Notamacropus eugenii: one gene and its partners. The protein of the gene in region 4 purifies or fractionates together with the protein of the main gene of each other region. This does not show direct contact. Links are inferred from orthologs where the notes say so. Each region holds a gene or a part of one and is shown on either strand. Other genes may lie near its edges. The genes, in order: PHF8, SCAPER, PKMYT1 and CCNA2.

Region 1 (6,986 bases), on a different chromosome or scaffold from region 4:
AAAAGGTTTTGGAGGAGCTATGACTTAATTCTCAGTGGAGAGAGTATCCATACTGAAGAAACCATGGCTACTGTCAACTCTCAAGTGTTTCCCTCTGTTCATGGCAGCACTGGATTGTAGCTGCCCTGTTTCCAAAGCATCTGCAACTGCAACCCTAGGAGTACAATTTCTTAGCCTTTGTGTCTTTTCACGGTTCTGCAGATGGAGTGTCCAAGCTGCCAGAGCACATCATGAGTCAGCTCCAGCCTCAGGTAAACAGCCAGCCCAGAGACAGCAGCCAAGTAGCAGGAGAGGCTCCATCTGACTACAGAAGCTGAGATGAAGAGGCCTTTCCTCATTCCAGGCTGTAAGAATGGTCCCAGTCACCCTTTTGCTCTGGCCTATGGACCTGGGTTTGAAACAAGCCCAAGGTGGTCCCACAAGTGCTGTCAGAGATTCTTCCTCCATTGGCAGTAGTTCCAGTTTGGAATTTCTTGTCTCCCCAGGAGCTTTCTTCTGTTTAATAGGCATGACACCCAGTTAGGGTTATCCAAATAGATGTTCTCAATCCTGATTTCAGCCAGTTTTTCACTTGCTTCTCTCCTGGCCTCTAACTCAGGCAGTCAGATAGCTATGTGGTTTTGGTGGGGGGTTGGGTCAGTGATGATTAAAATTTGGTTTTTTACATTTGTGCAAAAGACAAAAGGTCTCGGTACTCATACTAGGGGATTCAAGTGAATCTGACAACTTTGGGGCAGATATTCCTGCCTCTGAATTGATGTATTACCTGTACAATGGAAAGACTGGAGAACTTCCCCAGAAGTAGGGTACAAAGGGATAGATTAAAATTGGACTAAAAAATTAATAAAAATAATAAAATTGGACTGTGGGTGTATGTGAGTATGTATCTGCATGTGTGACTGAGTGCCTTTCTGGTTACATCCAATCTTGTACATAGGAGGCCATGTATATCTACACACATGCCTTTTATCTAGAGCCCCAGAGCTCTCCCTTCTCTCACATGTTTCCCAGAAATGCTTATACTGTTACAGAGAGGTAGGGTTCACAAGAAACCCTGCTAAGGCTTAGTCCATCCCCTATATCCTTCCCTCCAAGCTACATGGAAAATGCTGTTCCATCCAAAGACTGTTCTGATAGGTATTTCTCAAGAGAGAAACACTGACATTGGAGCAAGCTTCTAGTACATGAAGATCGCTTGGAGGATGGACATTTCTTCCTGGGGTCCCAGAGGTTGGGGAGAGGGGAGGGCTTGGAGAATCAGCCAGTTGGCCAGGGCTGAGATAGGTTACTGCCTCAAGTTTGTGGATTGATGGGGACCACTGAACTAGCACCAGGAGCAAGGAGCTATTTGTTCACTGACACTGTACCACTTCAGTCTTTTCATTAGTGTTTGGCTCCAGGAATTCTAACGTGGGCCCTAGGAAGAGGGTCTGGTGGTCAGTCCAAGTGCCAGCTCCTTGAATGATAACTGCCCCACTTTGATGGACGTCTGTGGGCAGCTTTGTTTTTCTGGATGAGGCTCAGTTTAGCTCTCAGGCCCCGAAGGAGAGGCTTTTGACACTTGAGTGATCTCATGTTTCTTTTTTCAGTGATCCAATCTCCTGGCTGGTCACAGCCTCCCTAAGTAACACATTCCCCTCTAGTGTGCCAAATGACTAGCTTCTTCTAAGAGGGATGTTTCTTTCTCATTGCCTGCCTTCCCCCTTTCACTGAATACTGAAGCCTGCCCCCCCGCCCCCCAGCTCTTTGGTGATTGCTTGTTTGCTACTTCTAGCCACTTAGGAAATGTTGCAAACCATTTCAAACCTGTCTTTTTGCCTTGGACAGTCAGCTTTGTCCTCTCAGTGGAATTGATTGGAATTGATAAGGGACCAGGAGGAAGTTGCCCATAGTGCACTCTGTGCTGAGAAGGCTCCTGATCTGGAAGAAAGCCATGAGGTTCCCACCTGCTGCTTTCTTGGCCAACTTTCTGCCATTGCGACTTCCCTGGGGACTTGGAGTTCCTGCTTCCCTTTATCTTGCTCTTTGTTTTTTAGATATTGAAAAACAGGGTACAAATAAGACTGAGGAACACTCACACTGCTGACCAGGAAGGGGCTCCTTGACATGTGAGAAGCCCTGGAGAGGGGGGTTTCAGGGGGACTAGCTCTTGACTGGGAAATGAGGGGTTTTTGCTGCATTGTGGAGGTGGTGAGGTTTCTCTTGATCTTTAGCTAGCAGGAATCACAGTAGAGCTTTAAAAACCCTGACCTGCTGAAAGACAGGAAAGACTCTGCTAAGTGTGGAGTTATGTACTTCCTTTTGAGGGAAATGTCAAGTTACTGATGTCTAAAGCTCCACAAACCTAGTGGGAATCTAGTCAACTGTTTGGCCAAAGAATGCCATAAGCCCAGCTTCAAAGCTCAGGGATGCCCAGTTTCCTGACAGATGTCACTTTGTCCAGCTGGAGCTTTTTCTAAATGTGGAGGATTGGGATACTAGGTTTACTTGCATCTCTCTGTAATAATGAATCAGGCTAAGAGGTAGAGAGAGCTTGACTCATCCTTGGCAGGGTGGCATTTTCATGCTGTGGCAAGACCTTGTTCATTTCCTGTGCCAAGTTTTTTTTGGTTATGGAGTTCTTTCCCAGGGTGAACAGTGCAAGAGCGCACACACACACACACACGCGCGCGCGCACACACACACACTTTTAGATTGTTCAGGCCTGTATGAAGCCTGGTACTCTGAACCCTTCAGTGGGCCGAGCCCCGCGTGCCCCGGCACCAGACTTCTGGTGGCATTATCGCCATCTTTGGTGTCTGCCGCCCAGATTGGGTCCCAGTGACAAAGGCCGAGGGGGGCGGGGAAGGAGGAAGAAGCCCCAGAGGCAGGTGACAGCAATTGGCCTCTCGTTGCGCGGCCTTCCGTTCCGTTTCACGCGCAATGACCACCTGGTTTGTTCCTCTTTCTCCCAGAGCTCTTTGCGGCCTCGGTTGGTGGAACGGCCACAGTTCTAGATGGCTGGGCTCGTGAGAATGCGCTGGTCCCCACTGCCCCGCCCCCCGCCCCGCCCCCTGCTCGGCCTCGGGATGCTCAGAACGCTCCGGCTGCTGCGCCCTTTAAGAAACGTTTAGTCTTTTAGGAAAAGTCTCAATTCCCAAGGGTCTGCCTTTGCTTCTCTCCGGCACTCCGTCGGCCCCGCCTCGGGGAGCAGTCGGGGTCAGTGCCTGGGGAAGGGCGGGGCGGGGAGCCCAGTCCACGCCGGGGGGGCGGGGGCGGGGCGAGCTGCGCCTGCGCTAGCCGGCGCTCCGGAGGTGCGGACCTTTCCGCCACGCCCCTGATGGCGCAGGCCGGATTGATTCACGCCTCGCTCAACATGGCGTCTTGTAGCATCCCTCGCGCGGCCGTCCCCTCCTCTCTCGCTCCCACCTCCTGAAGATTTTGAATAAAGTTTATTGGGCGACACGCACCAGCCCGGCCTCCGTTCCGCGGCGGCAAGAAGTGGGAGCCGAAGGGCCGAGGCGGAGGCATCGGCGGCCAGGGGGCGGGGCTAGATCCGGAAGCTGGTCCGAGGCCCCGCCCTCCTGGGAGGAGGGGCTGGAAGGGGGCGGGACCTGAGGGCGGGGCGGCCGCCGCCGTGGTCCTCTTCGCCGCCGCCGCCGCTGCCGTGATCGTGGCCGCCGTCCTGGTCGTGGTCGCCGTCCTCGTCGTGGTGGTCGCGGTCGCCGCCGCCGCGCGTGACCGAGCCGGAAGGCCGCCGGGGAGTCAGGCCCGGCTCCGTCGTCGACGTGACGTAACGTGACGTCGCCCAGCGGGGGGCGGGGAGAGCGCCCGTGCCCGCGCTCGCGCCCGCGCTCGTGCTCGCTACTCGCCCCCCGCGCTGCGACTGCTCCCACCGCCGCTGCCGCCGCCGCTCCAGCCGCTGTCGTCCGCAGCCCGGCTCCCGGGCCCGGCTCCGCCGCCCGCCCGTCCCCCCCGGGCCCCAGGCCGCGCCGCCCATGTCCGCGCCGCCGGCCTCCGGCGGCCAGCCCTGCCCCCCGCGGGGGGCGCGGGCCCAGGAGCGGGCTGAGGCGCGGGCCCAGGCGCGGGCCAAGATGGCTTCCCCGCCGGTCTACTGCCTGTGCCGGCTGCCCTACGACGTGACCCGCTTCATGATCGAGTGCGACCTGTGCCAGGACTGGTTCCACGGCAGGTGAGCGCCCCCCCCCCCCCCCCCGCGCCCTCCCCTTCTCCCGGCCTTCCTACCCTGGGGGGCCTCCCTCCGCTGGGCACCTGTTGCCCTTGTTGCCCGGTGGGGGCGGGGCCCAGGGCACAGATGCCCCGTCATTGTCTTTCCCAGTGAGGGCTCCCCACGGAGTACCCTCCAGTCCTTGGGGCCAGCATCCATTGAGCACCTGCTGTGTGCTCGGCTCTGGGCTCCAGGATAACTTGTAAACAAGACCGATGCCGGATGAATGGAGAATGGGATCGGAGCCGAGCCTGATGAAGGGGAGCGCCCCGGAGAATCAGAGGAGCGGGGGGCCAGGACTTGGGAAGGACTTGGAACCCCAAAACAGAGCGTTTGCCAGAGGCCATAGGGAGCCGCTGGAATGGAGGGGTGGGGGACATGGTCAGAACCACTTTAGGAAGATTGCTTTGGTGGCTGAATGAACTTAGGTGGGGAGAGACCCGCCATGGTCCAGGCCTGTACCAGGGTCGGGGGCAGGGGCAGAGGAGACAGTGGATATGGTGGTGAGAGAAGTCTGGGACAAGACCTGGGTCATCAGCCTGGGGCATGAGAGGGTGGCATTGATCTCTACAGTAGTAGGGGAGGATGGGGTTCGCAAACACCCTATAGGCTAACTCCAACATTGTGGTGTAACATGTTGGTCTTCTACAAAAACAAGGACAAACACCAACGGCTGGGAAGGTAGGAGATGGGGAAAGGTTGAGGGGGAAAGATGGTGAGTTCTGTTTTAGACTTGTGGAGTTTCAGGCGCCCACTGGACATCCAATTGGAGAGGTTTGGGAGGCAGATGGAGATGCTAGGAGGTCAGCAGGGAGGCTGGGGCAGGAAAGGGAGATGGGAGAATCCTCTGCCTCCAGAGAGATGGTCTTTCAATCTAGGGGGAGACGGAGGCCACAGAGGAGTCAAAATGAGAAGAGACTTTTGGATCTGACAACTAAGAGATCACTGGCAACTTTAGAACAGTTAACAGTGAAACAATGTAGTTGAAAGCTGGGTTATAAAAGGTCAAGAAGATAGTGTGAGGATACAAAGTAGAGGCAGCTATTGTGAGTTTGAGGAGTTCTGAAAAAATAGTGGATATGTGAGAGATAGAGGGAAGGAGCCAGGAGATAGGGAGTGCTTGAAGATGTGAAGGGAGCAGGGCTGACAGAGAGGTGCCACACTGGAAGGGGAGGGCCGGGTCTTGGTAAGGACTAAGGCCACCTCTTTGTGTGAGACAGGTGAGGGAGGCTGTGGGGCAGAGGGCACCTGAGGGATAGGAGATGGGGAGAAGGTGCAGCTCTCAGTGAGTGACCCCAATTGATTCTGTAAGCTATGAGGCATGGTTTTCAGCTGCAGGAGGGGGATAAGGGGATAGGAAATGGGAGGTTTCAGGAGGGAGGAAAAGGTTTTGGGACCAGTGAGTGAGGCCCATATGGTAGGACTGCCTAACAGCAGTGAGAGCTCAGGTGACATGTAACAGTCTGACCCAGTCAGAACAGTAACTCAGTTTTCCCCACCTTCATGCAGCAGCCCCTGTGGAGGGAACGGACAGCAAGAGTGATCCAAGGCCAAGGGAGGGCTGAGCATGATGGGTAATATAAAGGGGTGAGAGATTTGAGAGAGGAGAATCTCCAGAGTTGGACTGGATTATCAAGGGATCATGATGGGGAAAGGAGATTGTGGCCAGTGCAGTGGACATGGCCCAGGAGAGAGCAAAATTCAAAAGAAGGTGCTTCTCAAAGGGCCAACCTGGAAAAAGGCCGGGGAAGAGTGCTGCATTTAACTCCTACACAGGGATCCATTTGTGGTGGTGGTTCTGCAGTTGTTTTCAGTCAGACCTGAGTCTTCATGACCTCATTGGCAGAGATACTGCACTAGTTTGCCATTTCCTTCACCACCTCATTTTACAGAAGAGGAAACTGAGGCAAACAGGGTGACTTGCCCAGGGTCACCCAACTAGGAAGTGTCCGAGGCCAGATTTGAACTCAGGAAGATGAGTCTCCCTGACTCCAGACCTGACAATTTATGCTCTATGGTGCCACCCAGCTGCCTAATCTATTTTTAGCTGACCCTTGAAACACCTGGGGACCATTGCTGTGAATCTAGAATGATAAAATGATTCGGGCAGAGCCATTAAAAGCTGGGTGCTGGCCTTCAGGGGAAGCCTGATAGGGCCCAACTCCCCCTCCCCCATGTGACTCCCCACTTAAGCACAGTGCTGGCCCCCACACTTCAGTGGTATGTCCTTGAAGAGGGCCTTTCCACCTACTTTTCTCTGCAACCTTCAAACTGCCCCATCATAGCCCTTGGGGCAGATGTGCTCAAGCCTTTCATGTCGGTTTTCTGCAGGCCCCTTCTGGTCCTGGAGCCAACATCCCCACTAGGAGCCAGGGGGCAGCTAGACAGCTGGGGGCAGCTCACCTAGGCCCCCCCAGCTGCTGTGATTGCCCAAAGGGTCATTCAGAAGGTGATGCCCAATGGGTCTGGTTCATTTCTGGCTGCTGCTGGTGCCATACCTTGACTCTTCTGTGTCTATCTTGACCAGAGGGGCTTCCCTCCCCCAGCTTAGCATTTCTGGTGGAGATGAGGGAATTTCTAGGACTCTGGCAGTTGTCCTCCATAGAGAGAATCTCTTCCTCTTCACCATCTCCCTCAAGTGTGTATGTGCCTGGTGGCCCTGACTCTGCTTCTTTGGCCATCTTGCCAGCACTTTGAATGGAGGCTGGGTCCTATTTGACCTGAGTAGGAACTGTAAAGGGGAGATTCCCTGCAGGCAAGTGATTGAAGGGATCCCTGA
Region 2 (6,953 bases), on a different chromosome or scaffold from region 4:
ATTATGATCTAGGAGAGAGAGTGGGGTAGAATAGTGGGCTGGCCTCAAAGTCCGGAAGACCCTAGGGAAGTCTCTTAAAACAATAAGTTATGGATCTGTATTGGTAGAGGGAGTTTCTATACAGAGTTACCTACATCAATGAAATATCATCATCATCACTACCACCATCATCATCATCACCACCACCAGCATCAGCATCATCACCATCATCATCATTTTAATCAGTACACAAGTACTCAAATCCATGTGGATTTTTTTCTCCATTGATGCTGATCACAGCCCCTCCATTTCTGCCCATGATGGGTGACACTTGTCCAAGTCATCTCGTAAGTCCAACAGGCTAGAAGCCTTCCTTGATTCCTGCTGACATTGACACAATACTCACAGAGCACTCAGGCTGTCTACCTGTCCTCTCCCTCTCACCTGATGACCAACTCATCATGCATTTCCCTGCTGATGCTCTACTGTGCAATTCTTTGTTGGGGACAAGTTGCAGGGTCTATGTTCCTACAGAAGTATAAATGTAAGGGGATCTAGCCAGATGCCTTTGGCCATTGCTGCTCCTGGTGGTGGTGATGCCCATGGTACCAGGTGTAAGAAAACGTATATAACATGGAGAAATGTCATGGTGTAGAATATAAAGGAGTATAGTTGACATCAAGAGAGATGTAGGTTTGCCTCCTGAACTAGACCTTCATTAACTTTATGAATTTGGCCAAATCACTTCACTCCCCCAAACCTCAGTTTCCTCATTTGCTTAAGGGGGAGAATTTGATCCCAGTTTCTCCTGTCTTCCAGTCTGGTACTCTAGCTACCATGTCACATTACCAGTTACCTTAGAGCTCAAATAATTGTAAAAGTTTTTATTGTGGAAGCTAACTAAAGTGCATCCCTGTTCTCTCTTTTATCCAAATATTAAGCACTTGCTATGTGCTGTGCACTGTGCTAAGTGCTTTACAATTATTACCTCATTTGATCCTCACAACAACCATATCTGTGGAAGGCGCTATTATGATCTCCATTGTATCAATGAGGAAAGTGAGGCAAACAGGGTTAAGTGACTTGCCCAAGGTCACACAGCTAATCAGTGTCTGAGGCTGAATTTGAAGTCAGGTCTTCCAGCACTGTATCCATTGGGTGACCTAGCTGCCACTATTACAATATCACAAGTATCACAATTATTGCAAATATTACAATATTACAAAATAATATCAGGACAGCACTTTAGTCTGAAGTCCTTAGTCTAATCTGAACAATGATGGGGTGATGGGACCTGGACCCTAGTCCCTGGCATCTCACCTAAGGCATATGTCTCACCCCATTCCACCATGATTCCTTAATGAGCTTATTTGATACTCCTTAATCCCATCTAGATCTTTTCACTGTTGCATCTGGCCCACCTCAGGCTATTTGCCACTCTTTAATCCCGTCCAAATCTTCTCAAGGTCTTTTTTGTATGTTAGTATCAGTCCCATCCTCATCAAATTTGCAGACTCATTAAGAATTTTGCCCACTTTTATCGATGATACAGTAGCAGATTTGCTAAGAATCTCACCTGCTCCTATTGGCGTTACAAATAAACCTTGCTACTTTGACTGAAAGAAGGCTTGTGTGCTTGAATTCTTTCCAGGCAGGATTTCCCCCCCATACCCTTACATTTTAGGGTTCCCAGCACCCCAAACTACAACAAACAATAAACCCTTCTAAGACTTTCTTTGACTTTGATGCCCAGTTTCCATATTGAAACCTTTTTACATCATTCCTATTACAGTTTCCAAATGAAGAACTGCTCCCTGAAGTGATGAGGGTAAAGATCAGACTAAAAGAAGGAAAACATCTGTGATTAATTCAGTTAACAGAAGTATCTCTTGAATTGCCTTTGACCAAGCTGAAAGAAGAAAGCTTGGAGGCAGTGATTAAAGACGGATTGAATGATTTTGGGAATCTGATTTTCCAGGGTACACCAAAAGTTATGACTGTTATTGTTTCAAAACTGTCACCTGAAATTCTACCTGAACACTGCAACTATATTTTGTTTGTTGTGGGATTATTTCTTTTGTTTGAGAATTTCAACTTTGCTCTTGAATCCTATAAATTGTATATAGAAAATGGCTTGTGAGGGAAAAATTTTTAAAGGCAGGACTGATTTCTATCCCTTTGTCTTTTTTGCTCTCTAAGCAGAGAAACTTTGAATTTACTTAATTAAAAATGTGTTTCTGGTAGTTTGTATCTCAGACATAAAGTAGAGAATTTTCTTCCACCCCAGATATTTGGGTCTGGGGACTCAAGCCACGGTGGATAATTGTGTTTTTCAAATCCTCCACATCAAACGCACTCATCCACAGAAGCATGAAAAGTAGGTCCTTACCCAAGGACAGATCAACATTAATGATTCTTTTGGTACTAATTTTAGTAGTACTAATTTACTCTATTTTAAAGGTCCATCTCTTTAGGGATGAAATGTCTGTTCTGGGATGTTGGTGATGATCTCAGATTCAGGAATGCAGTAGACTTAAGCCTAAAAGCTACTCTCATCTCCTTTTCAGATGTTTCCTATCCACCAAGGCTTTCCATTTATCACCAGCTTTGCATTATAGCTCCAGAATTTTGTTACAGTCACTTCCAGATGCAAATTGAGCTTTTGTTAACCCATCAGATTTTTGCTTTACTGAAACAGCCTAATTGTGCTTTTCCTTCTCCAACACTGTGGCCTCTACAAGAAGGGTTCAGGTTTTTTCCTGGAGAAGCAAATCTAGAGAAGAAATGTTTTAAAAGAAGTTTATAACAGGAAAGCTCTCATATACTTCCAAATATTTTTACTACCTTTCTTTGGTGTGTATTAGAAAAGAATGAAAAACAAAGTGGATTCCTTTCCTTTGGGAAAGGGCTAAACAGTTTTGGTAACATGAATGTAACAATATTATGATGTATATGAAGAATTCAGAGAAGCATGAGAAGACTTATATGAACTAATAGAGAATGAAGCAATTGGGTTCCCTCCTGACTGGTAAAAATAAACATATTTTATATACCGAGATGAAACAAGAGCCCAAGAGACAAGTGTTTTGGGATAATTAATAGTCAATTTACTAATTAGGCTAGCAAATAACCAATAAATTAATGGCCAGTGGTTTCCCTCAGTTGTTGCTGTGTGCGTCCTTCCTTGCCCAAGAAGACCACGCCTTCAGAGAAGCAATGACGTGACTTGAAATTGACTTTGTTCTGAGGGAGGGAGGGCTGGGCAGCTCACCGGCCTCACTTCTCCTCCAGGGCCCTCTGGATCCAGTGACCAGATATCCATCAGGATGACTGCAGATGGCCCAGGGTGCACTGGGAGCCCTTTAGGCCAAGGTCTTTGCAGTACTCACTCAGGTGAGGTGACTCCAGTTGGCTAAATACGTACATACATACATCCACGCAGGCTCTACGCAGCCTCCGGGCATGTATTTGTCCCATGCTCCATCAGCGCTGACCTCCCAGAGCTCTCGGCAGAAGCCTAGGCTGCTGAGCTCAGCGCACACGAGGAAGCATCCCGTCTGTCCGCGGCCGTGTGGAAGCGCGAGCGTCTTTCTTCGTGTGCCCGACCCTTAGCAGAGAGCCTGCTGCCGTCACTTGACGGGATCTCCTTCTTTAAACTGTCTCTCCTAATTCCGGGCTCCCTGCTGGGCCCCTTCGCGCTTGGCCCGGCACGTGTTTCAGTCTCGGCACGGGGAGGGGGAGGGAAAGGCGCGAAGCTCCGGAGCCCGGACGGACCCCAAGCCCAGCCCAAGGCTCCCCGGCGCAGGCTCACGTTCGCTCCGCCCCTCCCCCGGTGCCCGCCACGCGAGCCGGCCCCGGAGACTCGGGCGCAGCAGGCCACCGCGCCTGCGCACTGCAACCACATCACGTGAGCACGCCGGGAGGCCCCGCCTTCTCCCCGCCCCTCCCCTCCCCTCCCTGTCCTCGCCCCGCCCCCATCCCGGCGGGACGCTCGGAGGCGGCCCCGGACGTTCAGCCTGGCTGGAAGTCAGGCGGGCGGGCGGTCGGCGGGCCGGGGGTGAGTGTCCCGCGGGGGCGCGCGGGCCAGGGAGGGGCGCGGGATGGAGGGTCGTGGGGCTGGGGGGCCGCGGGGCGGGGCAGGCGGCTGGTGACAGCCTCCCGCGGCTGAGGGGACAAGATGGCGGCGAGATGCTCCCCTCCCCCCGGACCCGCCCCCGCCGCCGGCCGGGCTCCGCTCCCGAGACCCCCGGGCCGATGCCGAGGGGGGAGTGGCGGACGGGGGAGAGAAAGGGAGGCATGGAGGGAGGGGTCACTCTGCGCCCCCCAGCCCCGCCCGAGGGGATGCCCCCTCCCCGAGCAGGGGAGGGGGCGGGGGCGCGCTGCTGTCAGTGCCACGTGTATGCCCCTGCGCCTCCTGGAGGTCCGAGCCCCGGGCGGGGGGCGGCCTGGCCGACGCCCCGGACCCCTCCTCGCCGCCGGAGGTTTGCATGCCCCCTCCCCCGTCACCCCGGAGATAGCCGAGCGCCGTCGGCCCCATTTTACAGATGAGAAAACTGAGGCAGGTAGCGGCGAAGTGACTTGCCCAGGGTCCCACGGCTAGGCCGCGTCCGAGGCTGGATTTGAACTCGAGTCCCCGTGGCCCCAGGTCGGCTCTCTCTTCACCCACAAAGACCTAAGCCACACGTGGGTTCTCAGTGTTTGCCTCCCCTGTGCCCGGCCGGGTGCTTTGCACACCCTAGGTGCTTAATAAGTGCTCGTGGAACAGGGGAATCCCTGTGATGGCCTCGTAAGATGGGGAGCCCATTCCCCGCCCCCAGAGGTGAATTGGGGTGTGACTGGCTCAAGGCTGCCCCATGGGCCCCCTCTCCTGGATGCTTTGTATGACCCTTGCCCTGACCTGCCCTGGGCTGCCCTGTGTATCCAGGAAGGGGGGGAGGTCCAGCTGGACCCAGATGACCAGAGCCAAGCAGGGCCTGTCTGTGTGTCCCACCGAGTCTGAAGTGAGGGGCCGGCTAGGCCGGAGTCCAGCTCCCTGTCCGGGCCTGGTGACCCTTCTAACCCTCCTGCGGGGATTCTGCACAAATAACTCCGTAGTGGTGAAGAATTCGAGCTTTCTTCCCCGACAGCTATCAGGAAGTGGGCATGTGCTTGTGTATTTTAATATTCATTGATTTATTTTTAACTAATTGAGGTCATCATCCCGAACCTCTTTTTGCATTACTTAACCTAATTTTCCTCAGCTATAAAATAGGGTTCCTAATAGTACCTGCCTCCCAGGTTGTTATGAGTCAAATGAAAGAAGATTAACAAATTGCTTAGTACAGTGCAGGTCACATAGTAGGTGCTTAATAAATGCTTGTTCCTTCCTTCCTTCCTGCCCACCCACAAATACTGAAGAAATCCTGTAATCCTGTAGGAAACAGCTTTGAAAATGATTGAAGGAACTGATTTGTTGAAAATGTTTTCCTGTGTGACATGATAAGCTGAAAAAACTCCCTCTCCACCTGTCCAATAAAAAACCATTTGCTTTAAGCTCTGTTAAAATGAGTAGAAAGGAGTAAGTTTTTCAAGCTTACTTTTGACCAATATTAGGAGAGTTCATTTACCACACGTTTTCAAGCATCTGTACTCCTATGTGCAAGGCATCGTGAGATGTTTTTTAGGCATTCTTTCATATCACTGGACACAGTGGCAAACACATAATAGGGACTTATTAAATACTTGCTGATTGTTCCACTTAAAGCAGCCTGCAAGGAGTCCTCCACCAAGTTTATCATTGTGGTAGGATCCTGAGTTCCCTTTGGTCTCTTGACAGCAGAATGTAAAGTCTGTTAGGTCCTTCCAAGGTGGCAGATCTGGTGATGCACTGTTGTCTGAGGACTGGTCTAGTGAAGTCTGGAGAAGTCTGTCATCCTAGTGTTGACCATGGGGTCATGAAGATCATCTGCTAGTATATTCTGCTATCTGGATGAAGTCACGGCTCTTTTGAAGTGTTCAGGGGATAATCATAAAGTAACAGAACTAAACAACTCTCTCTCATCAGGCTGATTGAAGTGCCTGAAAATAGAAAGCCAGCCCTTGCCTGGACCAGTTCTCTCTACTCCCATCGTTGAGCTTTGAGCATTGATTAGAGTGCCTTTTGTGCCTCCATGGACACCCCTCCCCAAGACAGTCAACAGGCATTATAAGTGACACTGTTCCCAGACCCTGAGCTGCCCATGCCAAGATTGGGCAGCACGGACCTGTCTCCAAAGAGCTTTTACATTTTTAAAATAAATTTTTATTGATATCTTTTGTTTTTAGTTACCTACAAATTCCATTCTTTTCCTAGAGAACAGTCTCATAACACAGAATAGAAAGATGGAAAGAAAAGCAAACACCAGATAAGCACAACCAACCACTATATAAAAATGCATGGTGTATGCAGTATTCCACCCCAGTAGTCTCTCCCACTTGTGCAAAGCAGACACAGGGGAACTGCTGCCTTCTTCCTTCTCTTTGGCACCAAGCTTGATTGTAATAATTTAAGAACATTGGAGCTTTTAACTGGAGAAGTGACTTTCCTTCTGCTGAAGTCTTTTAGGATTTTGCACCTTTCCCATTTTCATCTTTTCATATTTTATTTTTGTGTATGTGTCTTATCTTCCTTCATAACAACAACAACACATCTCCAGTAACTTATATTTAAGCAGTGATGTAAGGTTTGCTAACTCATTAAACATTTATTTAGTGCCTGCTGTGTGCCAGGCTTTGTGCTAAGCACTAGGGGTGCAAAGAAATATTAATGATGGTGCCTACTCTTGTCTGATGTGAGAGATGCCATTCAAACAGCTATGTGCAAAAAAAACATAGAAGGATAAATGGGCAGTGATCAACCAAGGGAAGACACTGGAGTTAAGAGGTATTAGTAAAGGCTTCCTATAGAAGGCAAGAATTCAGCTGAAATTTGAAGGAAACCAGGGAAGCCTGGAGGG
Region 3 (6,951 bases), on a different chromosome or scaffold from region 4:
TTAGTTATTAGTACTCTCCCTCCTTGAATATTCCTATTTTGTCTCATTTCTCCTTTGCCCCTTTCACTCCCTATCATATTTTACTTAACTGTGTACATGTCATATCACCCTAGTAAAATGTCAGATCTTTGACGACAGAAACTGTTTGTTTTTTAATCTTTAAATCTTCAGTGCCTAGCACATTACTTTGCATACAGTATGTGTTTAATAAATGAAGTTAATTCCATATACTTCTAAGCATATTATTTCTGAATTTGAATGTTTACTTGTCCTTCTGAAATAAACCTTTAAAAAATGTGATTCTGTGTTTTGATATATGCGGAAACAGGGGAGAGAAGGGAAAAAAGGAAGTATGTGTCAGAAATGGGCACCAAAATATGGTATCAGCAGAACATCAGTAGAAGGGGAAGTGGTTTGGGGACTCTGTGTATGTAGTAGATTTTTAAATTTCCAGAGCCAAACAGGGGAAGGGATTAGGAAGTTCCAGAAACTCAGGACTAAGTTTCAATTGGAGTTGGGTCATTAGAAAATTTTTGAACATAGTAAAAGGAAAAAGCTCTGGATACAAAATCAAGAACAGTGTATCAATTTCATTTGAAAAAGCTATTTCCAAGCAGAAGACTTTGAGACCTGCAACACAAGGCTAGAACCTTTATTAGGAGATGGGGCTCTAAGTAGAGACATAACTGGCTTCCTTGAAAGAACTGATCAGAAGAAAAGAGGTGGAATTTAATTATGGGACCAAGGAATCCCCATCTCTCCACTCACCTTGAAGACTTCCCCAAAGGAACCCCGTCCCAATCGCCCAAGTCTCTGGAAACTCTGCTGAAAGAAAGACTCAGGCCGGTCTGGGTCATAGCCACGGCTCTGCAATGCTCCTGGGGGCCCACCTCGAAATGAAACTCCTCTGGGTCTGGGCTGGCTCCAGCCTGGAGTTCTAGGGGGAAAGAAGCGACTAACAGAACCACTCCCTTTGGCAGGAGGCCGTGGTGGTAGGCTTCTGTTCAGGCCCCCAGGCCTCTTAAGAGAGAAGCCAGGCTCAGCATGACGAAAGTAGGCAGGAACAGGCACAGGAGTACCACTGAGGGGTGGAGGGGTCCCTTCTGTTGGGACTGGCATGACCAGCAAAGGAGACCCTACAAAACAAAGGAAGTCAGTAACTACTAAGAGTAGGTTAAATTGTCATAAGAAATAGCTCACAAATGACAAAACTTCAGTCTTCTCATTGTTTATAGAATTAGGATTAAATTATTTTAGCCCTCAACACTTTCCACAATCTGGCACCAACTTACATTTCCAGTCATTTCTCATTATATAACCCTTCTGGCATTCTACATTCCTGGACTATTCATCATTCTTCAATATTATTATATTCAATATATTCTCCTCAGCCCATGCTGCCCTCAATCCCTCAGAATGCAACCTCTACACATCTCTACATGTGGAAATTCTTCCATTCTTTCAAGACCCAACTCAAGCGGTCCTTTTCTTCATGATAATTTCCCCCATCTCCCAGCTAGAAATGATTGCAACCTACCCTAAATCTCTCCTGTCATTCTATCTGACCCCTCCTATCCACTTAATCACATTCCAACATATAGATATCTGTGTATGTGTCTTATCCCCTGACCAGATTGCAAGCTTCTGTTGGAATGTGTCAGCCACCTTTTTTGTATCCCCAAGGACAAGGACCAATTTTTGAACATAGTAACTACTTGGAGTAAATGTTTTGCTAAATTGAAAGCAAGCAGAAGGCCTGGATCACAGGACAGGGCAGCTTGCATTGAAGAAAGAAATCCTCCCAGAACACACAGGCACAACAAAATAAGCCCAAACAGCACAGGATAACCCTCAGTTAGGCCTGCTCAGAACGGCTTCAGAACCAGTCACTCCCTCCTCTCCTCTAGGAATTACAAGTCCCAGCTCCCTGGCTACCATGTCAAAGGAGCCGGACTCCACCACACTCCTCCTGTGTCCCTTCTAGACCTTGGACATCCTGGCAAACCAAATGCTACACACGTCCAGCCAAAAGGAGGTGGCTACAGGGGACACATTCCTCAGAAAACAACAAGAGTTCACAAAACGGGCCGGGTTTGGTGCATCGGCTGCCGGGGCGGGAGGCGGGAATGCCCGTCATTCGGGGGCCCAGGGTTACTACTGGAAAGGAGTGCGGGGGCCAGGGAAGCTGCTACTGGAAACGAGGAGACTGAGTTTCGGGGTCCACGAAGGAGGAGAGTGAGAACGGAAGGGAACAGGGTGCCTGTTACCCAGGGTGGGAAAAAGGGGCTCGGGTCAAGGAAAGATCCTGGAAGGGGAAGGGCGGCCAGAGGAGGAGGAAGCAGGAGGAGGGAGGAGTGTGGGGAGGGGAGGGTAAGACCAAGGGATGGTCCGTCAGGGAGTGAAGGGCAGGGCAGGGGCCGAGTAGGAGGAGAAGGGGAGAGGCTGTCGGGCCAGGGAAGGGTTGGGGGCCCCCGAAGGAGGGCTGCTCAAGAGAGGGAAGGGAAGAGGAGGGGCCGAGGGAGGAAGAGCAGCCAGGGAGGGGCGGGGCCGGGAGACTGGGGGACGAAGAGCGATCTAGGAGGGGAAGGGGCTTGGGGGGCGGGGCAGAGGGAAGACCGGATGGCCAGGGTTGTCAGCGAGGGGACTAGGCTCTGAAGGAGGGGCTGAGGGCGGGCTCTGAGAGGGGCGAGCCCGCGGTACCTGGAGCTCGGGAGGCCAGGGCTGGGGCTGTTACCGAAGGTCAGGGGTCTCCTCAGGGTCAGGGGTCAGACGCTCACCACCAGGTGGGGCTCGGGCTCCTGCTCCGGGTGCCCCGGATGAGCCGGTTCGGCACGGGGCCAGCCTTCAGGGTCCCGCGCAGTGGGGGAGGGAGGAGGGACAAGGCAGGGGAGGGGAGGGTCCAGACGTCGGCCGGTTCCAAAGACTCCAGCGCGCGGAGGGGTCGGTGGAACTGGAAGGGTCCCATGCGCGCGCGCGGCGCCTTCTCGCGCCAAAAATTCCAAATGAGTCTCGTGGGCTCCGCCCAGGAATGCCTTTAGCCCCGCCTCCTCATGATGGATTCACCAATAAGTGGCGCCGCTTCTAGCCCGTCCCCATCACGTATCTCCACACGTAGCCGGGTGAGGCGCTAGGCCCCGCCTACTCGCTCCCTGGGCGACGTCAGTGAAGCCGCGGGGCGGGCCTTCCAGCTGAGAAGCCCCGCCCCTCCCGGCCCCACCCACCGTGGAACCAGCTCCGCAGGTACTTGGCTGGACGCTGCACGTGGCTGTCCCGCAGCCTCCCTCTCCCGGGCGAGAACTCCCGAAAGTCTGAGCCGGAAGGAATCCTGGGATGTAAAAGCTTGCTATCCAGTCCAGTCCACACGGGAAAGAGAATCTCCACAGAACCTGAGCAGTGGTCATCCGGGCTGTACTTGAAGACCTAGGATGAAGGGGAGCCAGCTGTATCCCGAGGGGAACATCTCTGTAAGCATTAAGAAGTTTGACCTGACATCAAGCTTGAATCTGGCTCTTTGCACCTTCCATCCCATTGTTCCCAGTCCCACCCTCCTGGCCAGAGGCAGCTAGGTAGGCCAGTGGATGGAGTTGGAGGAACATTCATCTTCCCGAGGTCAAGTCCGGCCTCAGACACTTACTAGCCGTGTGACCTTGGGCAAGTCACTTAACCTCTGTTTGCCTCGGTTCCCTCATCTGTAAAATGGGGACAATAATATCACCTCCCTCCCAGTAATATTTGTAAACCACTTAACTAGAGGCCTGGCATACTGTAAATGCCCTTCTAGGACCAAACAATATATCTAATCTCTGTCTTCCACATGGCAGCCTTCAAATACTTGAACACATGTATCCTTTTCTCCTGGAATTCTTCTCCAGGCTTGACATTCCTAATTCCTTCAACCAGTCTTCATAGGGCGTTGTTTCAGGCTCTGCATAGTCCCAGTGGCCCTCCTCTGGATACTTTTCAGTTTATCAATGATCTGTAATCGGTTATCTTAATGATCTAAGCCAACCGACCTCATTTTGGGAATGGGGACATTCATACTTAAAGAAGGGTCACACAGGAAGAAATGCAAAAAGATCCAGAGATGTCAATGGGACAATCAGTGATGGTAGGCTGCATTGAAAAGGAAAGACAAAGGACTTCTCTGTGGCACCCCAAGATAGGTCGGTCATTACCTGTCCTTCGCCTCTGTCTTGTCTCCTCTCGTGCCCAAGAATCACAGAAGCTCAGAATTAGAAGAGACCTCAAAAGTCATCTAATCAAACTTATGTCCAGATGACCATGCCTTCTGCAATATAACAAGCAAAAGCAGTCATCTGACCTGGCACAGTGTGTATAAAATGGGTTTAGAGTATGAGGAAGTAAGGCTTCAAATCTATCACCTCAGCTAACACTGTGTCATCATGAGCAAATTATTTACCTTTTCTAAGTACAAGTTTTCAATCTGTGAAAGGATTTAATCATGCTTGCAGTACTCACTGGGTTACTGTGAAGCTCAAATGAAATTGTATATGTGTGTATACATACATACATGCGTATGTACACACACATGTAATTTGTATACTTTAAAGATACTGTAATTGTTGAGTTGCTTTTCATTCTTGTTTGACTTCATGACCCCATTTGGGGCTTTTACGGCAAAGATAGTGGAGTGGTTTGCCATTTCCTTCTCCAGCTCATTTTACAGATGAAGAAACTGAGGCAAGCAGGGTTAAGTGACTTGCCCACAGTCGCACAGCTACTAAGGCCAGATTTTCAACTCAGGAAGCTATCTGGACTCCAGACCTTGATACTATATCCGCTTCATCACCTAGCTGCCCCAATGATATTATAAAGGGTATCCCCAAAAGTCCTCATGCAGCTTTAAGTAATTAAAGCTTTAATAGCTTATTAATTATTATTATCCAGACTCTCCTTGAAGACTTCCAGAGAGGGGGACTCCTTACTCCTCCACCCACCCTAAGGCACCCTATTTCCCATTTTGTGTAGGTTTAATTGTTAAGAAGTTTTTTTAATACCAAACTTAAATCTTCCACTCTTCAACCTCCACCCTATTGCTCCTATTTCTGCCCTTCATGTTCATATAGTTCCTGGATTTTTCTTGTCAGGTAGACTTCCAAATATTTTATATTGTCTACAGTTATTTAAATGGAATTTCTCCATCTCTTGCTGCTGGGTCATGTTGGTAATATATAGAAATGCCAGTGATTTATTTGGGTATATTTTATATCATGCAATTTTGCTAAAGTTGTTAATTATTTCAAGTAGTTTTTTAATTGATTCTCTAGGATTCTCTAAGTACACTATCATATCATCTGCAAAGAGTGCAAAGAGTGATAGCTTTGTTTCCTCATTGCCTATTTTAATTCTTTCAATTTATTTTCCTTACCTTATTGCTAAAGCTAACATTTCTAATACAATTATTGAATAACAGTGGTGATAATGGATATCCTTGTTTCACTCCTCATCTTATTGGAAATACTTCTAGCTTATCCTCATTATGTATAATGCTTGCTGCTGATGGTTTGAGATGGATGCTAATCATTTTAAGGAAAACTCCATTTATTCCTGTGCTCTCTAGTGTTTTTAATAGGAGTGGGTGCTGTTTTTTGTCAAAAGCTTTTTCTGGCATCGATTGAGATAATCATGTGATTTCTCTTAATTGTGGTATTGATATGGTCAGTTATTCTCATAGTTTTCCTAATATTGAGCCAGTCCTGCATTCCTGGCATAAATCCCACCTGGTCATAGTGTATTTATTTCTGCCCTCTGGAGCCAAGTAGAAGTCTAATCTTTGATCCCCATGAATGCCCTTTAAGTACTGGTATCTTTCATTAACAGGAAGAACTGAAAGTGACCTGGGGTTACATCTAGTCCAACTTGTACCCCAAAAAGTTTCCTCTACAAAATAAGCCAGCTAAGCTTGTTTTCTTCAACTAGCTTCATGTGTCATGGTTTCTATTCTCATCATCATTCTAGTCATCTTTCTCCAGCTTGTCAATTGCCCTTTGGGATGTTATCAATATTTACAAGGTTCGATCTTTCCTTCCACTTCCCCAGTTCTTCCCCTTACCTTCAGAACTGTGCACTACAGAAGCAGAATGAGAATATAGTGACTTGTCACCTGAAATGAGCCACTTCTAAAAGACAAATTGCTTAGTAAGAAAGCCATGAAGAACTATAAGGACAGTCACAGCAGAGTACCAATGAAACAACTTGAGAGGGACTTATCTTGAGTGGTAGCAGACTCTCTCTAGAGCCTAAGAACTTTGGAGAGAGACCTGCTGAAGCCGAGTCAAATAAGTAAATTGGTCACCGAGGGCCAAGTAATGACAACAGCCTGGGAAGCTCTATTGACGGGGTGGCATGCCTGCATCTTGAGTTTGTGATTGCTGGCGATGGAAGCTGAAGCAGATTTTGCTGAGCTGATTCGGTTCATCTTCCCCTTCAGACTTTTACTGTGAACAGGGAAAATTCAAACTATTAATGGGTTACAGCACAGGAGTTACTAAAGAAATGGTATGCTTTTTATTGGGGAAATGGAGCAGCTATCTGGGAAATCTCATTACTGTATTTTATCTTTCAGTAAATATACTTAAACTATAATTTGAGTATTTTTTGTCTTTGGATCACACAAAGAGATAAAATTAGTAATGGGAAACAAGACATGAGCTAAATTTGGAGATTTTCCCAAAGCTTAAACATCTGAGTAGGGGTAAAATACAAGCTGAAGTTCTAAAATAGACTTTTGAAACATTATGTACACATAGTTTTGCATCATTAAGCCCTCAACCAAATTGAAAGGAACCTAGGCCAAGGAAGAAGGGCATGTGGCTCTGTATTACATAAAGAGGAGGAAGCCTACTATATCTGACAGTTCTTTTCATATGTGGGGATTAGACATGTTTCAGCACCCCCTTTATAGGTGGAGTACTCTCTACCCTACCTACC
Region 4 (6,897 bases):
AGACCAACACACTAACATTTTGGAAAAAATGAAAAGTTCTTGCCAGCCCCGTCCCTGTCAGCAGCACAAGTCAGCCTGCTGGCCCGTACATGTAACACCGTCACGCCTGTTCTGCACACCCCTGCAAGCAGGCCTGGTTCCGGAGGTGACCAGTAAGTTGTTTAATCCTGCCTCCCACCCCAGGGGTTGACTTACGAGGCGAGGAGCATGGCAGCCGTCCCCACCAGCTGAAGCTTCCCCCGAAGCACAGACATGGAGGACAGGAACCTGTCAATGTAGTTCACAGCCAAGTGGAGAGTCTCGTTCTGGAGCTTGTACTCTTCCCCCACCTCCACCAGCCAGTCCACCAAAATGGCACGCATGCTGTTGGTGATGTCGGGCTGCTTCTTCATGTAGCCCACCTTGGGCTTACACTTAACCTGGTAAGAGAAGCCAGCAGCTGAGGGTCAGGGCAGCTGGACCCTGTGCGCTGTTCTGACTAGCAAGTCATCCCTTCACAAACTCAGTTTTACCTCCATCTCCCTAAGGTACAGATAGATGTCTTCATGGTAGTCAGGGACTTCATTGACATTTGGTGGCTTTTCCTCCGGTTCCAGCACCACTGACATGTCCATAGTAAGGGGAGATTCTGAGGAAATTTCAGAAGAGACAGAGCAAAGGTTCATTTTAAGTGTTTAAAGGGCAGAAAGTCAGGTGGTTGACCCCAGTCAACCCGTGACCCTGGTAAATGGAATTCATATAAATGCCATCAATCCTCTTTCTGGGCATCTCTAGTAATAACACCGACAACCTGGATTTCAATAGCGCTTTAGCTTTACCAAGGGCTTTCTTCACTTCAGTGAGAATCACCAACATTCCCATTCTCTGAACAAGGAAACTGAGGTTCACAAGTGAAGGCATGCAAGGTCATAGCACTAGCATAAAATCTTACAGACCCCAATGGAACGGACACTATCCTGCTTGGTGAGTGGTTTTTTTGGTTTTTTTTTAAGTTTTCAACATTCACTTCAGTAAGTTTTAAATTTTCTCTCCCTCGCTCCCCTCCCTCCTCCCCAAGACAGCTTGCAATCTGATATGGGCCCTATATATACATTCCTATTAAATATATTTTCACATTAGTCTTTTTGTGTAGAAGAATTAGAATGAATGGGAGAAACCATGAGAAAGAAAAAACAAAAACACAGTGGCTTGGTTTTGTAGTCTGACTTCACAGATCTTTCTCTGGTGTGGAGGGCATTTTCCATCGTGGGTCCTTTGGAAACGTTTTAGGGCCTGGCACTGCTGAGAAGGGCTGTCCATCAAGTCAGTCCCGGCACACGGCCGCTGTCCAGGAGTAATTCTGTCGGGCGGCGTAGCTGACTTCATAGGCAACAACAACAACTGCGCATTTAGGTGGCACCGCGTTAACCACGCTTCACAAACGCTGTCTCCTCCCGTACTCACAACAGCCCTGGGAGCCCCGTGTGGTGGTGATGCCCACCTCACAGCTGAAGACGCCGGAGCTGAGAAGCGAAATGACTTGCCCAGGGTGGCCGAAGGGGCCGGACTTGAACTCGGATCTTCTGCTGCCTCTAGCAATTCTACCGGCTGTATAGCCCTAAGTTCTGTGGGAGCCTCGGGGAAGCCCAGGTGGGAGGAGACCACCCTCCCTGCCCAAGCTCTCCTGTGCGCCCCACGTTTTGGGGGCACTCTGCGCAGCCTGAGCCATGGCAGGCTCCCAACCTCAGCAGGGTCTGGGAACAGACAACTTGGCTCCCAGGGCTGGGCAAGTCCGGCTCTGCCGGCCCCTCCGCGATGCCCACTGCCCCCGCTCCCTGCCCCGGCCCCTCCGGGGTGCCCACTGCCCCCGCTCCCGGCCCCGGCCCCGGCCCCTCCGGGGTGCCCACTGCCCCCGCTCCCGGCCCCGGCCCCTCCGGGGTGCCCACTGCCCCCGCTCCCGGCCCCGGCCCCTCCGGGGTGCCCGCTCCCTGGCCCGGCCCCTCCCCGGTGCCCACCCCACCCCACCCCGCGCCCTTACCGAAGCTGCCGTCCATGGGGTAGTCCAGGGGCACCAGGGGCCTGCGGGCGTCCTGCAGGGACGTGGCGGACTGCAAGGCCAGCGCCTGGTCCTCCAGGTCGTCCTTCCCGGGGCCGGCGGCCTTCTGGCCAGGGCCGGCCTGGGGCTCGTCCACGTGAATGGTGAAAGCGGGCTGCTTGCCGGGGGCGTTCCAGGGCGGGACGGGAGGCTGCTCATCCTGGAGCAGGACATCCCGGAGGGGCGCAGCCACCTGCAAAGGCGGGCGGGCGGGTGACGCCGAGCCCCGGGCACCCCGGGCACCCCGGCCGGCACGGGGCCCCACGCCCCGCGCTTGACAGCTGCCACTTCCTGGGGGGAGGGGAGGCGCCGCGCCGGCTCCCGCAGCGATCCCGCGCAAACGCCGGCACGCCCGAGGGCTCCGAGCTCTCCCGGGGGCCCCCACCCCCCCCGGAGCCCGCGCGCGCTCAGGTCCCGCCCGCGCAGGAACGCGGGGCCTCGGGGGTTCCGCCCGCACCGCCCCCCCCCCCCCCCCGGCCCGCGCCTACCCTGCCCCGCGCCTCACCCTGCGGCTCTTGGACTTCTGCGGGGCCAGGGCGGCCGCCGGCCCGAGGCCGGGGCCCGGGCCCGGGGCCCGCACGTTGGCCCGCAGCACGCCCAGCACGGTGCGCGTCCTGGCGGGCTCGGCGCCGCCGCGCTTGTCCGGGTGCACGTTCTCCTGGTTCTCGTCGGGGCCGGCGGCCCGGGGCCCCGCCGCCGTGTGGCCCAGCATGGCGGGGGGCCAGCCTGCCGGGCCCGGGCCCGCGCTCTCCGCTCCGCTCCGCTCCCCTCCGCTCCCTCCGGGCCCTCGGCGCACTCCGGGCCGGCCGCACCGCGCACCGACACGCGCTAGGCCCCGCGCGGCCGCAGCAGCTCCCGCCTCCAGCCGCTGCCCAGGCCGCGGCCCCGGGCTCTGCTCACCGCGGTTCAAGCGGCCCGCGACTATTGAAATGAGCCAATGGCAGCCGCGGGCGTCGCACGTCAGCGCGCACGCGGGCGGGGGGCGGGCGGAGGGAGGGGAGGGGGGGAGGGAGGGAGGGAGGATGGGGAGAGGGGGAGGGGAGAGGGGAGGGAGGGGAGGAGCTTCCGCCCTGCCCCGCCCCGGCCGCCCCCGGCTGGGGGGGGGGAATGGGGGGGTGCAGGGGCGGGGGAGGACTCTCCGCTGCGGGAGGGGCGCCGGGCACCGAGGCCGAGCCTTCTCCAGGCACGGGGTGGGGGCAGAGGAAGCCGCCCGAGGGGAGCCAGGGCAAGGGCAGCTCCGGGCAGGTGAGGACGGGAAAGCTGTCAGCAATGGCCCGGGAGGGCGCAGCCAGCCCCCTTCCAAGGAGGAATGCCAGCCTCTGAGCCCAGAACAGTTACCCCAGGGCCCCAGCCTGGCCCAGGATGCCTGCCCTCCCCCAAAGAAGCCACGTCTGCGGAACACGCGCCTGCCCCTTGCTGGGGGGCACCTTGGAGAGATTGGGGGCAGCCTAAGACGGCTGGCGGCCCCCACCCCCGCCCAGCGTCCTCCTCGTCTGCCAGGGATGCCCTCTGAAAATGCCTCCGCCCCCAGCAGACTCGAGGTCTTAAATGCCACTTTCAAATTTAAGTAAGCAAACAGGACGGAGGGCGGCCAACCCTGTTCCCAGTTAAATCATTCTCTCACTGTTCACACAAACAAAAATCCCATCCTGGAGAACAACCGTTTGTTTAGCCAGACTGTTATTTTTATTGATTCCTCATAAACTTAAATACGATGATGTTCACTGAAAAGGAATCTAATGTGATCCTACAGCGTATGTGTCCTTTATTCCTCAAAGACTAGAAAAGGGTACCTGGCCGATGACTGGCAAGAAGATTCCCTCCTTCCCTCACCTTTGCAGCATCACTCCGTACCTCCCCTATGGCTTGTGAGCCAAGTCACAGAGCCAGTCCTTGTTCTCCATGGCTGGGCACAGCCGGGGTGCCACCTCTCACATGGGGGCCATCAGACCCACCAGCTTTATTATTTAGCATAACCAGAGCCATTACTGAAACAATAATCAGAAGACCAAGGGCATTACCTATACAAAGAAATCATGGTGGATCTAACGGGAGACACGTGGATTAGGAGCCAGACACTAGCTATGGGATCTGGAACAAGTCCTGTAAAGTGAGACCGTGCCAGTTCTCAGAGTATATTCCCATGATACTAGATCTCTTTCTCTCATGGTGCCTGACTCAGTTCCCTCATTGTACAGTGAGGATAATAATAACGATCCATTGTACCTTCTGAGGATGTCATAAGGATCAGATGGGAATACACGTGAAAGCATGTTTGAAACCATGGAACCAACTCTCCTGCCATATTGGAATGTTATTACTTTCAAAACATCCATATTCAAAGAAGAGGACATCAGTAAGTAAGTCATCTTCACAACTCTCAAAATTAGCTTTTTTTTTTTGACAAAGTAAAAAAATTGTCATTTTTTTTTAACGAACCATCTCACCAAAAATACAATTTCCTGAAAATGTCAGGACGACATCCAGACGATCCATCTGCGATGGAGTCCAAACTGTGTAAACATGTCATCAATCTAATCTGGGACCCACTTGACATGCTGGGCCATTCCGATGCACAGTTTAAGCAGCATCAAAGAAAGCCATGAGGGCACTTTGGTCGTAACTGTCCAGAATCTCCAGCAGAAGAGGGACTTTGCTCTTCACATTGGTGCCTTTGAACTTGAACTTATCGATGAAGAGGTCAGTGATCATGCCTGAAAGAGGAATGCTCATGTTCAGCCATTAGCTTTCACGACCCAAGACAACACGTTTTCCTAGAGATGAATAAGCCACTCAAAATGGCCTTTTTAAGGATCCCTCACCTTTCTTATTTGTCCAGACTTGGGATTTCATCATTGAAATCACAGAAGAGTCAGTCACTGTTCTTAAAAATATTGAGTATAAGAAACCCAACTTGTAGGACAGAGGTCTCTAAAAATTTTATATTTAGTCACAGAGATGATTGATTGGGAGGCCACTGGAATTTCCCAAGCACGGGAGAGTGACATGGCCAGTGCTGCATTTTAGGAAGCTCACTGGGGGATGAATGGAGGAGACTTGAGGCAGGCAGTCCCACAAGAAGGCCACCAAAATAATCCAGAGGTGAGCTGAGAAGGGCCAGCCCCAGTGTGTGTGTGTGGGGGGGGGGGGGGGAGGGGGGAACAGCAGTATCAGAAGAGAAAGAGGAATAAGGGAGAGGATTGGATATAGGGACCTGAGGGAGTGAGGGTGACATGGAGGCTGGGAGCCTGGGTGACCTGAGAAAAGAGAAGGAAGGAGCAGGAACAGTGGGGAAAAGAAAGTGAGCTTGGTTTGGTACATGTTGAGTTGTTCAAGATGTCCAACAGGCAGTCGGTGGGGAGACACTGGAGGTGAGCAGAGAGGGTGGGCCTGGAGAGTCATCAGCACAGAGACACTGCTTCCACAGAGCTTGAGAGGCGACCAAGTGCAACAGTACAGAGGGAGAACAGGAGAGGGCTCAGGACAGAGGCCGGGATCTGGGGGAGATCTAGCAAAGGAGATGGAGCCAGGAAGAAGGAAAGCCAGGAGAGGAGACTGACAGCCTGCTCCATGAAGACTGAAGAAAGGCCATCAGATCTGACAGTCAGAGGGCTGGCAGTGACTCCAAACCAGCCACTGCCCTCAGCATCCTCACCCAGCCTCACCAGCGGCCTGGGTCCCAGGGCCCTGCCATCCAATTATCCTGTACCTGTTTTGTACAGACCTAAATCTGGGCACATTGTCCCCCAGGTGGAGCATTAAGGCCTCCAGGGCAGGGACTGCTCTGCTTCTGTCTCGGGTGGCCCAGCGCTGAGCACATGGCAGGTACACAAATGCTGGTTTCTTCTTACTTCCCAGCAACTGTCTGGGCCTAGCCCAACCCTGGGCCCGGGAGGCTCCCAGCAGCTGCTCACATGGGCCCATAGGCCCCTGGGCCTCTTGGACAGCTGCTGCTACCTCTTGGCCTGACTCAGCCCTGAGCTACTCTGCCACACTCATGTGGTCCCTGGTCTGGGCAGGCTGCTGTGACACCCCCAGCTCAGCCTCCACAGCTGCTCAGTCTTTGAAGAGAGGTGGGGACCGAATGGGGAACCCATACAGAGGAACCCCACTGTTCTAGAGTATCAAAGTTTCAGGGTCTAATTCACCGTTATAAGGACTTTAAAAAGGGGACAGAGACAAGCAATTGAATGGCTGCTTTGTTATACAACACTAACAGTGTTGTAGCCTAGTCAGGCTAACTTTTAAAAAATGGAGTTGACTAGTTATTTTGCCACAATGCAGACAACCCCTGACCTTAACCAGATCTCTAGATATACCACTGAAAACCCTGGTTCCCAGCTTGATTTGGTCAGGTTGCTGTTTTACTTTCTGGTTGCATTTAAACACCAGAAGGGAAGGGGCCACCTACTCCCTCTAGCTCTTTTCAGTGTCAAAGCAGCCTGTCCTCATGAGGGCCAGGACCAGGAGGCACAAAGAAGCGCTCACTGAGTGCCCCCTGTTCCAATCATTGTCAGGAGCCTGGGGATACGATGACAAGGCCAGCATCACCACGTCCTCCTCAGATCTGCTCATCATTCTACAGCCACAGGAAATGCTTTACCCAGGGCTAGGGATGGACTTGGTGTGATTTCATTGGCACAGGTAACTCCCAGGTGAGGAAATGCTCTCTACCAATGCAGGCCTCATCAGAAAGGTGCCTCAAGCACTGAAGAGTTAAGTGGCCTGCCCAGGATTCCATGGCAGGACTGGCACCCAGGTCTTCCTGGCTCTGGGGCTAGTTCTCAATCTGGTATGACATGCAATTGTCTCTCTTTGCATAG

What was found.
Region 1: the proteins of CCNA2 (region 4) and PHF8 purify together in Homo sapiens (affinity purification with mass spectrometry; 3 studies listed by BioGRID and IntAct, counting the BioPlex papers as one, with this or other methods). This does not show direct contact. The link is inferred for Notamacropus eugenii from reciprocal best matches to the Homo sapiens genes CCNA2 and PHF8.
Region 2: the proteins of CCNA2 (region 4) and SCAPER purify together in Homo sapiens (affinity purification with mass spectrometry; 3 studies listed by BioGRID and IntAct, counting the BioPlex papers as one, with this or other methods). This does not show direct contact. The link is inferred for Notamacropus eugenii from reciprocal best matches to the Homo sapiens genes CCNA2 and SCAPER.
Region 3: the proteins of CCNA2 (region 4) and PKMYT1 purify together in Homo sapiens (affinity purification with mass spectrometry; 3 studies listed by BioGRID and IntAct, counting the BioPlex papers as one, with this or other methods). This does not show direct contact. The link is inferred for Notamacropus eugenii from reciprocal best matches to the Homo sapiens genes CCNA2 and PKMYT1.

The regions. Positions count from the first base shown.
Region 1 is NC_092879.1:102,520,974-102,527,959, reverse strand, and holds the start of PHF8 (histone lysine demethylase PHF8), read left to right. Parts: upstream 1-3,977; coding exon 3,978-4,171; intron 4,172-6,986. UniProt on the Homo sapiens protein: Histone lysine demethylase with selectivity for the di- and monomethyl states that plays a key role cell cycle progression, rDNA transcription and brain development.
Region 2 is NC_092872.1:256,637,519-256,644,471, reverse strand, and holds the start of SCAPER (S phase cyclin A-associated protein in the endoplasmic reticulum), read left to right. Parts: upstream 1-3,944; 5' UTR 3,945-4,036; intron 4,037-6,953. UniProt on the Homo sapiens protein: CCNA2/CDK2 regulatory protein that transiently maintains CCNA2 in the cytoplasm.
Region 3 is NC_092872.1:56,510,807-56,517,757, forward strand, and holds the start of PKMYT1 (membrane-associated tyrosine- and threonine-specific cdc2-inhibitory kinase), read right to left. Parts: upstream 3,003-6,951; 5' UTR 2,778-3,002; exon of another isoform or gene 2,701-2,777; intron 2,093-2,700; exon of another isoform or gene 1,936-2,092; intron 1,137-1,935; 5' UTR 1,120-1,136; coding exon 769-1,119; intron 1-768. UniProt on the Homo sapiens protein: Acts as a negative regulator of entry into mitosis (G2 to M transition) by phosphorylation of the CDK1 kinase specifically when CDK1 is complexed to cyclins. Mediates phosphorylation of CDK1 predominantly on 'Thr-14'. Also involved in Golgi fragmentation.
Region 4 is NC_092878.1:162,622,709-162,629,605, reverse strand, and holds the start of CCNA2 (cyclin-A2), read right to left. Parts: upstream 3,012-6,897; 5' UTR 2,787-3,011; coding exon 2,580-2,786; intron 2,268-2,579; coding exon 2,018-2,267; intron 629-2,017; coding exon 513-628; intron 420-512; coding exon 196-419; intron 1-195. Other genes in the region: BBSome complex member BBS7, read right to left, coding at 4,655-4,788. UniProt on the Homo sapiens protein: Cyclin which controls both the G1/S and the G2/M transition phases of the cell cycle. Functions through the formation of specific serine/threonine protein kinase holoenzyme complexes with the cyclin-dependent protein kinases CDK1 or CDK2.